2 linked regions of the Nothobranchius furzeri genome follow. The main gene of each other region encodes a partner of the protein of the gene in region 2 in a complex. Links are inferred from orthologs where the notes say so. Each region holds a gene or a part of one and is shown on either strand. Other genes may lie near its edges. The genes, in order: h2ax and paxip1.

Region 1 (6,321 bases), on a different chromosome or scaffold from region 2:
AATGTGTTTCTCTTCTTTAGAAAGTTAAAAACACACTCACCCTGGTTCATGCGCAACTCACACTCCCTCCAGGCAAACACCAAATCACATTGCTAGACGCCTAAGCTCCACAGGCAGCCATCGCTCTCACGCAAAAAGAAAAGCATCCTTCACAAATCTGACCAGGTGACTTCCACCTGCTCCCGTATCAAAGTAAGTCCGCTGGGAGAAAATCAGAACTGGGTCATGTTAGATCTGCATAAACAATGTTTCTGTTGTATCTCTCCACAGCACACACAAATGCTCTGTTTCTAATTACCAAAGCTGGCAAAGAACATTTTCTTTTCCATGGATGGATTCCCTCCAAAATTAAAAACACAAGGCAAGGCACGCTCCCAAAACTTCATGAGAAAATTCCCCCGGTTGTCTCCGGGATGGAATCGTAACGTTCCCTCTGCACGCCTGCAGAGTTGCTTTCAAAGTGAATGTGTTGGTGCATCGCCCTGCCAGGTCCAACCCTCTCCACAGCTTTTTTCCTCCTTCTCTTCCCACTTTTCATTCCTTTCCCCGTTTAAGTCGAAACACAGCTGTGTTTATCACTAAAAAACACTAGATCTCTAGATTTCCCCAGAAGCACATTTTACAGAATGTAAGTTTGACTAAATTTGGTTTGTCCTGGATGCTGCTTCCACATGAACCCTTTAGCCACAAACAGCTGAAAGCAGGCAGAGCGGTGAATTTAAGGTCTGGGTTAACCATCTGGCTTTCTGAGGCCGGATGTTGGTGTTGGACACGTTGTCAAGGCCCGGGTAATTGGTTCAGTTTGCTGCTTTTGCCATCAATAAAACAGCCAAAGCAAATGGAAATGTCTCAGATTTTGCTGTCATTCATCGTCAAACACCATCACCAAAAATGAAATCTGGACCAGACCCTCCGGCTGAAAGGTGCATGAATTCAGGTAAACTGAATTAACCACATCTGTTGGGACACCTACGTATAAACTATTGCTGTCAGATGTGCTGTGTGGACACGATGAAGCTTTCACACATCTGTCGTAGACTTTTCATGTGGAGTAAGAGTATGGAAGAAGACATGGGGAAGAATGAAGCACGTGCAGATCTCACAGGAAGCAGTCAACCTCTGGTGGTAAAACCAGTGAACAACATCCCCACCTTCACCTCAGCAAACATAACACTCCTCATGTCTTCATACACAGCTTCCAGATTTTTCTTTTAATGTTTGAAAGTGATGATTTGGACACGCAGCAGCAGCTCAGGAGGTAGAGTGGGATGTCCAGTAATCAGAAGGTTGTAGGTTTGACCCTTGCTGTCAGAGAATGCTGCTGTTGTGTCCACGGGCAAGACGACTAACCCACCTTGTCTGGTGGTGGTCGGAGGAACCAGTGTACAACAGGCCTCGCCTCTGCCAGTGTTCCCTAGGGCAGCTGTAGCTACACCGGATCTCCATCACCACCAGCGTGAATGTGCGTGCATGGGTGAATGACTGTGTGTGTGTGTGTGTGTGTGTGTGTGGGGGGGGTTGGGGTAAAAGGGCTATACAAATACAGGCAATTTACTACTTTGCAAGTACTATTATTTTTTCTGCAGGGATTCTGAAGTTAGTTTTTATCGGACTGCTCATCACCCCTCAGTCCAGTAAGTTGAGTCAGTGGTACAGGGACAAGAACTGAAAAACGTGTAAAAGAAACCACAGAGGAAGCCATGAATGTTAACACTATCTGCTCGCGTGTTTTTCTCCATGTGCAATAAGGAAACACCTGGAGCTGCTTGAATAGACAGCCGTTAGTACATTTCATTTGAGACTTCACCACCACACAAACACGTTTCCAGGTGACAGATGTTGTCTTGCAGAACTTTTAATGAAACCGTTTTGTTGTGAACAGGCGTTTCACATGATGAAAACATACAGCAGCCCTGAGAACCTGAGTGCAATGCATAACAAATGTTTAGTTGCCAGTGTGTGCAGCTAGCATTGGATCTGGTCAGTTGCAGAAGAGTTGCTACTTTAAATAACATTCAAGGATGAAAAATAAACTCAGGATGAAGATTTTCAAGTGACATTTCAGGCTAACTGGGGAAATTTAGCCTAATCTTGTTTCTTAGCAAAGGATCTAGCCTGAAAGAAATTACCTTAACACAAGCCTTCAATAACCCAAACAAAATATGCTTTGAGCGACATTGATAAACTAGAAAAGTTGCCCTTTCGGTCGGTGGTTGGCCCTTAAAAGGGCCTTTGGGTTCATTGTGGTTAGCCGTGAAGCTAATACTCCTGAGACTGAGAGGACGCCTTCTTTCCCGCCTTGCCGGAGCTGGGTGCTGCCTGGCCGGCCTTCTTGGGCAGGAGGACGGCCTGGATGTTAGGCAACACGCCTCCCTGAGCGATGGTCACGCCACCGAGCAGTTTGTTCAGCTCCTCGTCGTTACGGACAGCCAGCTGAAGGTGGCGAGGAATGATTCGGGTCTTCTTGTTGTCCCGAGCGGCGTTGCCAGCCAGCTCCAGGATCTCGGCGGTGAGATACTCGAGGACCGCAGCCAGGTAAACAGGAGCTCCGGCGCCCACTCTCTCAGCATAGTTTCCCTTGCGGAGGAGACGGTGAACACGGCCCACAGGGAACTGCAGACCGGCGCGGGAGCTGCGGGTCTTCGCCTTGGCGCGGGCCTTAGCACCGGTTTTACCTCTTCCAGACATTGTTGAAGATCTCTTCCACGAATATGATTTCAATGCAGAAAATCGCAAAGTAGAAAGAAAAAAGGCTCGCCGAGCCATATATAAGCCTCCACGTTAGTCCCGCCCCAAACTACTATTGGATGCTAGAGAGAGAAGCTCTCATTTGTTTGGCTTTAGGAGATCAAACGTTCCAGGAAGCCAGTAACTATTGGTTTGGCTGCTCTGGCTCTACACCAATCATCGAGGAGTCTGACCAATAGACAAAGGTAATTGGTTGTTTATTTGTTCACCCAGTTTCACGCGGGTCACGTGTCAGAAGGAAGACCAATAGACGGTCTTCCCTCCAGCTTTAAACGTTTTGGCGCGTTACCGAACGAAAAGTGAACATTTCAAGCGATTTAATGAGTATTGATACAGTAAAGTATTGAATAATGTTGTCAGGGTTTTTGACCAAGATCGAAATGTGGTGACACATGTATCACAATTATACATGAGGACAATTTATTAAAATGCGCAAAATGTGCTTGAAGTAAGCTTACACTGCACAAACTGTGTGAGGGAGGGCCAGCAAGACATGGAAAATTCCACCATCCTCCCCCACTGAGACGAAGCTAATCCTAGGCAGCTCAGCAAATAACCATTTTACTGGTAAAAATATATACCTTTTACAAAAACAAGACCATATTAACTAAGTGCACAATCAACATTAGGGTTGAAAAATAATTTATTTGCAATAAATTACATTTTCAAAATATAACTGGGGCCTCACATCTTGAATTTTACAGCCACTTTTTCAAATTACATTCACATATCACTACATGTATATGTATGTGTGCTTTCAGGCAGGAGAGTGGTTTTGATCTGTTCTGCATTTTTAATTAGTTTGACAGTATTGTCCATACAGTACTGGCTTAATGTTTGGCATGTCCATTTGATAATATTTAATCAGATTAAATATTTATTTAAAAACACAGTAATTGAATAATTGATTTTGGTTGTTATGAGGTCCCAAAATTATTGCAGTTATTTCAAATGAGGTTTTTATAAGAGAAAAAAAATCATATGTACAGTTTTACAATTGGTTCTGATTGCTGCAGCAATTATCATTTTGTGTGTCTAGTTGTTAATATTTTTTTTCCAGCCCTGAGAGCAGTTCCACGTATAAAAAACTCTTAAACTTGGTTCTAATTGCCTGAGCTGAACCCTGACAGTCCAAGTGGATTGAATTAAATATGTTTATGACAATAATTCTCCTAAATACAACATTTTGCTGTTTGTGTAATATAAATTAATCAAATGTGTGACTGTTTGTTGTAAAATATGTTTTCTTAGTGAAGCACTGAGCTGCTGCAACTCAGCTATACCTGATCATTGTAAATCGTTTACCGACATGTTTATTTTTAAAGTTGATAGTCTTTCTTTATTTTTATTTTTTATTTTTTACAGATTAAGCTTATTGCCCAGCACGAGATGCCTGCTGACTGAACTATCAAAATCAAACCATAGTTATGATATTCCACAGAAAATAATTATCACACAAAATTACGATAAATACACCATCTTCTCTGCTTTTTATGCGATTAAACATGAATTTTAAAAGTAATTTTTAAGTAATCACAAATAAACAACACATTTTAACAGAGAAAGTTATATTAACTTACTTAAAGGTCTTCAAAATTAAATTTGCATAGAAAAGAATGCCAACGTCACTATTTTACAGTGCAATGCAGCGAGGATGACTTGTTTTGGGTTGATGAAATAAATAATATGGTTTATAAATCACACAGAATAATAAATTATCATTTTACACCCAACAAAATTTTACATGTGCTGTAAAAAAACAAATAAAGCATCAGTCCAAAGTGCATTTACATCATTAGTCTGAGTATATCCACCACCGATTCTGATCAAACCCTCTAGTGTGTGTTAGGAGTGTTTCATCGTAGTGACTTCCTTCTCACCAAGCAGCACGATTTTGTCTCCTCAAACAAACAAAAAGAGTTCATCATCACATTTGAGATCCAGCATTGCTGTCACAGGACTTCTGTGTTGAAGGTGCAATTCCTTGTTTCTAGACAGGATCCCTCCCAGCGGCATCCTTAGAAGTGTGGGTGACAGCCCACAGTGTGTGTTCAGCGATTCCAGCAGCTCCTTTTGAGCTACAACGACCTTCGTGATATCGATCAGTTCTCCACTGAACTTGCTCCTCCGTTCGTAGAAGCAGCTTTGCCTTTTGACTTGCCAGACGAGCGTAAGGAGAAGCGTTTGATGAGACGCCGCGAGAAGCTGCCAGACTTTTTACGGATGCTGCTTGCAGCTGGAGCAGCGAAGTTGTTGCCAATGTTGGAGATGTCCTCGTGGGACTGGCTGAGGCAAGGCTCCTTCTCTCGATGCTTTCTACGAAACAAAAGCTTCGAGCCGCTCTGGAGAAAGCCCACTGCAGAAAGCAGGTACATCACTTTATCTACTGATTATATGACATCACCATTTATCCAATGTAAAGCAATCATTGTGAAAACCACCAGGGGGCAGCATCAGCACAGTGATCCTTAGAAGTTATGTAACGCTGTTCAGTTTGTAGTGACACTTTGAAATTATGCTTTATTGACAAAAAACAATATGCAAAATAAATCTATTTAAATTAATACATTTAGCAAACATCTGCATGGAGTTTTTAATTCCTGCTCTATGTCAACAATGAGCAAACATTATTACCTTTATGATCCTTCAGGCTGCGGGTTTCCAAGGCACCAGCAGAACCAGTATCAGACTCTACATCGTCCACAGACGGACGCTCCGACACCTCAGAGGGAGTGGTTTCATCCGGGTCCTGGTGATGACCTCCCCTGTAATGGTTGCCGTGCATGGCTGCATCCATGGATGCTGCGTAGCCGCTTGACAACGCACAGTGATCCTCAGTGAGTGGAACCTGATATGCAACAAACATCAAATCATTTATTATGTATGAAGACAGGAAGCTTGTTTAAGGTCTGCTCTCATGATAATCAGTTTCTTTAGTTTTACTAATAAAAGCAGACGCTTCCAGTGGCTTCTGTGTCAAGGGCACCAACTTCACACACACACACACAGACACACACGGGGTTTCTACAAATTTTCTTCCAACAATCAGGTCAGTAGACTCGTTCTACTAGTGTAGTAGGGCGCTGTGATGCGAGACTAAATTTAGATCACACTCCTCTCGCCTGCGTCCATGTGAGTATTTTATATCCTTATCAGACTTCACTTCCAACATCTCAAAGGGCTACAAAGAATCATAACGGCTCATCGCTAAAAGGTAGAGATGTTTCATGTGTAATTCTGGAAGGAACAGCGTCCTCTGACCTTTGACACTCCGGATATGATTAGTGTGCTCCGTTTTGTTGGGGTCTTCCTTGCTGTTTTGGACGCCGACTCTGTCAGCTGCCGAATGGCCGTCTCCGCGACGGGATCCAGGCCGTTAGAGAGCCGACTGCTCTCTGTGCAGCAAAAACACAAATATGGAAATCAGGGCTGCTTGTTCGATCCAGTTGCTCAAAAACACGATCAAGCTGAGCTTTCTGACACTTCACAACCTTTAAAAAAAGCATATTTTATTGTTTTTTTGTATTCTGTGGGTTTGGGTAGAGCAGCACTCGCTCAGAGGGAATTAAGGGT
Region 2 (6,905 bases):
AAAGAAAGACTACAATCTTCTGTGGAAGGTTAAAGGACTTTACTACCCTGACCGGTAACTGTGTGCAGTTTCTGCTCCCGTAACTTTACGGAGGAACGTGTAATAAAGGACATCTGAGTTGAAGAATTGCTTTATCTATGTTCACAACCTGAAAAACAGCTGATAGGATGTAAGAAATGAGAAATAACTAACATGGATGTCTTATTTTAAATCTGACCATTAAAAATCTGCTTCTTCTGACTTCTAACTTTGATGTCTTAAAGCGACACTAGAGACTTGTAACGCTTTAGGCTGTTGCTTTTAATCTGGTTTCGATGATTCTGAAACCAGAAACTTGACCAACTTCACATGGAACAGCAGTCTGTAGCCCTCTGCTGCTAACAGATTTGTAGTTCTAGCTGTTTACTGTGCTGGTAGCTGATACAAAGCTATTAGCTATTTTTAATTGGCATTATGGTGGAGCCTGGAAGTAAAAATAAGAAAATCGGAGTGAACATCTGCGCAGAATCGTTTATGTCCGCATCGCAATGCATCGATTATTTGATTATTTTCCTCAGCTCTAGACAAAATCACACAAACGGATCAGTGAACAGTAATCCCTCGTTTATCGCGGTAGATGCGTTCCAGACCTGGCCGCGATAGGTGAAAATCTGCGAAGTAGGGACTCCCAGCATGCCCCTCGCAGGGATTCCCTCCACGTCGCACCTACGTCACAAACCGCGGCTATAAACGGAAGTCGCCTTTCCAGCTCACCACTCAGTCATCGTTTCTTCAGATTCATGATCAGAGTTTCCAACCTACCGATCAATCCAACGAACTATCAGCTCATAGTAAGTTATCGTACTTACTTCTGGAAAGCCCGGCATTTCCGTGTCACTTCGTTGACGCTCGAACGCTCGGGGGCTTCCTAGATCAGCCGGCGTTTCACCGACGCTATCACTTCCGCGTCTGTGAAACCACGCTCCCTACAAGCTCAGCTCCCGAATCCAGCCGCCCTGTCTGACATACAGTACTATATTGAATTATCGTATGATCACATTCTCTTTTTGTGGGTAAAACTCAAGAAAAAAATTTTTTTTACTTGTTTTTTTTAGTTTTATTACAAAAAGTGCATTTTATGATGAAATTGATGAAAAAAAAAAACAAGAATTTCTTGATATTTCGCATAGAAAAATACCGCGAATCAGTGAAAAATACCGCGAATCTGCGAATTCCCCCTGAAAAATGCTCCAAAGAAAAAATCCGCGAAGCAGCGAATCCGCGATGAACGAACCGCGAAGTAGCGAGGGATTACTGAACAGCGTAAGGTAACCTGTGTGCCCCACAGAAACACAACTCAGTTGAAAAATGGTGGTGTTGCTGGACATTTTGCTCAGTTTTATGGATTTTTGTCAGACTCTGAACCAGGAAATGGCTGCAGGCAGTGAAACACAAAACTCCGGGGCAACCAGTGACTCCGCCCCCTAGCCAATCAGTGACCAGAATCACAAGCCGGCCCGACTCAGCCTTGCCAGGTACGTCAATGGCGTAGGGACTAAAAGTAGAGGAGAAAGTAGAGGGAAAGTACCGAATCGTGCCCTTGAGAACAGTGGACAGGCCGACCCGCATCGGTCTGAGTTACTCTGAGTAGTGCTCCTGGAAAAACACCTTTAGTTGTGAACGGGGTTCGCAAAACTAAGGCCTGGTTTATGCTTCTCCGTCAGCTCCGCGAGGGACAGACACGCATGGACTGATGGAAGCATTTTGCTCTTTTACTTCTCCGTCTCCTGGAGAGTGTTGCAAAGCAATTGCCCGGCAGGACAACAGAGGGCGTAGCACTGTTCTGTGGTATCCTGTCACGTATCGGTCCAAGATCGTGTGTTTATATTGTGTTTTTTGTGTATATAAGAGACTTTTAACACGGACATATTTGTCTCTCATTCTTCCACCGCTTCATGCGCTCCCCACCTCTAAACCCACGTTTCCTGTCATTTCCGTCCACAAATAAAACGCTTGCTGCGCATCTTTTCACTCCTCCAGTCACGGGAGGATGAAACGTTCATATTTTTAGAGTTTTTTCGCGAGGTATTCTTCAAGCTTCTCCGTGTCTGCCGCTAGTTATCCTCGGCTCTCTTTGCAATGGTGGCGCTGTAAACAACAGCGGCGTCCTGACCAATCACAAGCTTGCATAATCTGTCTCGTTCAATCAATCAATCAATCAATCAATCAAAGCTTTATTTATAAAGCGCCTTCCACAACCCTGTCAGGAAGCCCAAAGCGCTGATGTTCGACGGATGTTTAAAAAAGTGGGCTCGACTCCGTACGTACTTGCGTGCCTGCCGGAGCCCTACTCAAGGACGGATAATGGCGTTGCGTGTCTCCGCACTGACGCAGACGGAGAATCATGAATCAGGTCTTTGATTTATCCTGTGATGCTTCCGGCTCAGGGTGGTCAGCCGAACCCACTCCAACACAGGGCTGAGACACTTCTGCATTGTGTGGGTCATTGTGAGCAAATGACCTAATGAACACAGCATCTCCAGAGAAATACCTTAAGTTGGTCAAACACAAACAATGTGTGAAAATAAGAGCACAGCAGCACATGTGTGACGGGAAGGTGACATCTTACGTGTGCTACAGCAGGTCGGCCGGCTGGCTGCATGTCGGAGCTGTTGGTTATGTTACGAAGGGTTCGAATAGTTTGATTCCATCCAGGGATGCCATCTGTAACGGACACACCTAAAACAGGCAGGGGGAATCTTTATCAGCAGGTTGGCATGTGAGGAGCTAATTCCAAGGCTGAAGTCCTCGTTATGGCTCACTCAGCAGAGTACGGAAGTGGTTGTCATACATATGGGCCATGAATACCATGTTATACCTTTATTTATATATGAATAGATACAACCAGAATCTAAAAGAATTCAAGATGCTGGAACATAAAGAATTACTGTGTAAAAACCCTATGCTGCCAAACTGCACCTCTGTTGCGCACACACGCGCGCACGCACACGCGCACGCACGCACGCGCGCACACACACACACACACACGCACGCGCGCGCGCACGCACGCACGCACGCACTCACGCGCGCACACACACACACACGCACACACACACACACCTTAGCTTAAGTGTTTTCCAAACGCCAGTCCTGCGTATCCACAGACACTCACAGTCTAACAAACCTAAGCCCTGTGAAAGTGACGGTGACAGAAGGCTGGAGTGGTTCTTACTGACCTTGTGAGGAGTGACTGATGGCGGCAGCAGCAGAGCGCGCCTCTGCCGGCATGGCACCACCGCCACCTGGAACAGGCGTCCCTGTAGCACACAGGTTTATCAGCCCACTGCCTGTGCAGGACACCGGATCCTTGCTGCCAGGAGGCCCGCCTCGCCGTCTGGCCATGCCAGTGGGAACAGTTGGAGTGACCACTTCGGCTGGGGTCCAGTTCAAGTTGGTACCCTCCTTCTCTGTGGAGGACTCATCATCAGAGTCATCAAACATTCGCTCTAGGCGCTCTGGTTTTCGGGGGGACGTTGGTGAGATAGAGTTAAGTCGTTTGGGTCCAGGTCTTCTGCGAGGACTAGACTCCTCGCCTGAAGAGCCCCCGCTGGACGCTCTAGATCGCCGAGGGCTGTAGCTTCCATTTGACTGTGAGTGTAAGTCGTAGGACTCTGCCTCGCTCTCCTCCTCTTCCTCAGGCTCCACGTAGGTGAGTCTGGGGTGATAAAGGGTCTCATCTTTCTTAGTTTTATCTGTGAAGAAAATACATGACATAAAAATTAGCTAGCCTGTAAATAAATAGTTTATAAATAAGGTAGAAATAGATAAGTTCCTCATGCAGATAAATAACGACTCCTCTCTGAGCGACACGTTGCTACTGCACCGCTGGACAGGACTAAACAATTATTATGCAACATTTCGTGAACTTCACTAAAACATATATGTTTGTGTTTGTATTTATATTATAAATGCACTGTAATGAGTTAGTCAATACTTGCAAGATACTGGTTGGGCGTGTACTGGGTAAGTTAAACCTCGGCCCGTTGCGTCATAAACTATGAGCAAGTATACTGGCTCTTTCATACTGGGAATTAGGAGTTTTATTTGTGATTATCTTGTTTCTTTTTCTTACTTATTTTTGTCCTGATTGTGCCCTGAGCATTTTAGACTGAATATATAAATTAACAAACAAACAAATAAATAAAATCAACATTAATTTAAAAATTGTCTTAAAGAATCGAGATCTCAATTTCTGTCAAAATATTCGTGATCATCATCATAATCGAGCAGCCACACCAGTCCACCATGAAAACCTCCGGGAACCAAAGATTCTAACGTGAGTCCATCTGACTAACAAATGAGGCTTGGACCGAACCGGGTCATAAAACAGAACCATGATCCAAACACAGCAGATCTACAGAAAAACGTCTTGCAAATAAGGCCTAGTCCACACGTAGCCGGGTTTTTTAAAAACGAATATCCGCCCCTCCAAAAACTTGCATCCACACCACCTCGTTAAAAAAAAAAAAACTGTCCACACGTACCCGGATAAATACGTTGTTAAAGACATGCCAGACCTGTAGGCGGCAGTACTTCCCCCGTTCCTAACCTCGTCCTTCGTCTGTGGTCTTCCGTAAGGAGCAGTAATCCCGCTTGCAAAAACAAACAAGCAAAAAGCGCTTGGACAATTGATAAAGCGAGCGCAGCTCTGAGGGCATCCATGCTGTCGGCTAGTGTAAACACAGGTCGCACACGTGATGTCAGCATTTTTTTGTCGCGGAAAGTGACGTTGCGGACCTTAAAACTCCGGTTTTGTCCGTCCACACGCAGACACCCAAAACGGAGAAAACGCAGATCTTCACTTTGGCCGGAGTTTTTAAAAAGATCCGTTTTCGTGTGAAAAAACTCAGTTTTGGTGTGGATGACAGGCCAAAACGTAGAAAAATATCTACGTTTTGGCAGATCCCCGGCTACGTGTGGACAGGGCCTAAAAGAATCAAGGTTCTGCAATGATCCAGTGAATGTCTGGACCAGAACCTGTCGACGACGGGATGCTAACAGAGTCAGGACCAGAACAGCTCCAGAGCCACACGAAAGAAAATCGATAATACTCAAGAGTTTCTGCTGCTATTTGACCGCCAAATGGACTGGGTTTTTCTCTAGCAGTTTTTCTTACGTTGTGCCTGTTTAATAATTACTGATTGTTGGGTGTTTTTCTACACTTGAGGTTTGACCAGAACCGTTTAGAGCCAGATGAAGACCACATCAGTCCTGTTAATAAAACTCTGGACCTAAAAGAGGGTGGAGTTTGTCTAAACACACAAATAAAAATCACAATAATCACGATTCCTTCTCAGTATTATTGTCTTTGCCATAAAAGTGACGTACCTTTAACAGAGTCTGTGATCCAATCTGGGGTAACTATTTTGATGCCCGAGTGTTTCAGGGCACACTCAAACTTCGCCTGAAAGCACAACAACAAAGACCATCAGAAATGAGAAAATCACATTAAAGAGAGGAGCTGAAAGTTTTTAAAAGTCCACAGTTTTTAATCAGAGGGCGCCATCTGGAGACAGAAAAATGTATAGCAACTCACAACTCAACTAATGGGCCGTTCCCATCTGTACCGGGTCGGCCCGGGCCGGGTAGCGTAGGTTGTTTACATATCTGGGTGGCCTGGTATTTTTCCGGGCCAACCAAGGCTCATTCTCAGCCCTCTTCTCGAGGGGGTCTGCTTCAGGCCGACCAGGACCAACACGCCCACTGCTGACAGCAAATTCACACCTTCCATTAGAGCAAGCCTCTGATTGGTGGGTAGAATCAGCCCACATGGGCTTAAGACAAGGATGTGTGGAATCAACCGGGCCAGGCTGGGGCCGACTGGGGCTACCCGGCCCGGGCCGACCCGGTACAGATGGGAATGGCCCATTACATTAGTGATTACGGCCCAAAGTAACGCATATATACTGCTAGCCACTGTTATAGCAGATCAGTTCATTTTAACCGGAAGCAAAGTGCGACATTTTGGACGCGCCCCAGAAGTGAGGGTACGCCATCATTATGTTTTGAGTCTATTTTTGCAGCGGTCCGCTTGCTGACTGGAACCAGCAAGCGGGATCACATAACCCCGGTTCTGGCCTCTCTCCATTGGCTTCCTGTCTCTTACAGGATCCACTTTAAAATTTTACTTTTTGCTTTTAAATCCCTTCATGGCCTGGCCCCAGTTTACATCTCTGAGCTGCTGTCCGCTTACGTCCCTGCCAGAACCATGAGGTCCAGCTCCCAAGCTCTTTTAACAGTTCCAAAAACCCGCCACAAGACTCGCGGCGACAGAGCGTTCTCTGTGGTTGGGCCCAAACTGTGGAACAAGCTACCTCTCAACATCAGGACCACACAGAATCTAGAACATTTTAAATCCCTTCTTAAGACACATTTTTTTGATTTGGCTTTTAATGCAGGCTGACTTGAGCATCTTAACAGTTTTTAACAGTTTTTATTACAGATTGTGACTGTTGTGTGCTCATCTTATTTTAGGTTTTTATTGTTGATCTGTCGTATCTTGATTTGTTTTAGCTTGTGCAGCGCTTTGGTGTAGCTTTGCTGCTGTAAATGCACTCTATAAATAAAATTGACCTTGACCTATTTTTGACGCGCTACGCTTCCACAACACATCAAACTCTGCAGTTTAAATCGAGCCAGACAGGAAGTCAAACAGAAAAGAAGCATACAACATCCAGAAAACTTCAAAATAAAAGGTCACGTGCAGTATGCCATTTCCTGTGAACCTTTGTGACCAGAAAATAACCCACAGACATTTTTTTCATGCATGCAGCTGTCTTTCTTTTTGTTTATTATTGTGTGTGGACGTCTGAAATCACCCGTGGTGTTGCAATTCTTCCGTGACTTCGTGACATCATGGGATCAGC

Evidence for each region.
Region 1: the proteins of paxip1 (region 2) and h2ax are in contact, whole or in part, in a crystal structure (PDB 3SQD), measured with the Homo sapiens proteins. The link is inferred for Nothobranchius furzeri from reciprocal best matches to the Homo sapiens genes PAXIP1 and H2AX. Residues at the interface, in NP_031375.3 of Homo sapiens: Phe871, Thr872, Gly873, Phe874, Pro876, Lys907, Thr909, Arg910, Thr911, Val912, Lys913, Pro986, Glu1050, Leu1053; in NP_002096.1 of Homo sapiens: Gln138, Ser140, Gln141, Glu142, Tyr143.

The regions. Positions count from the first base shown.
Region 1 is NC_091750.1:47,425,440-47,431,760, reverse strand, and holds h2ax (histone H2AX), read right to left. Parts: upstream 2,790-6,321; 5' UTR 2,767-2,789; coding exon 2,260-2,766; 3' UTR 1,838-2,259; downstream 1-1,837. Other genes in the region: phospholipid transfer protein C2CD2L, read right to left, coding at 4,851-5,104, 5,383-5,596, 6,010-6,143. UniProt on the Homo sapiens protein: Variant histone H2A which replaces conventional H2A in a subset of nucleosomes. Nucleosomes wrap and compact DNA into chromatin, limiting DNA accessibility to the cellular machineries which require DNA as a template.
Region 2 is NC_091751.1:66,109,938-66,116,842, reverse strand, and holds part of paxip1 (PAX-interacting protein 1), read right to left. Parts: intron 5,444-6,905; coding exon 5,368-5,443; intron 3,732-5,367; coding exon 3,216-3,731; intron 2,719-3,215; coding exon 2,609-2,718; intron 1-2,608.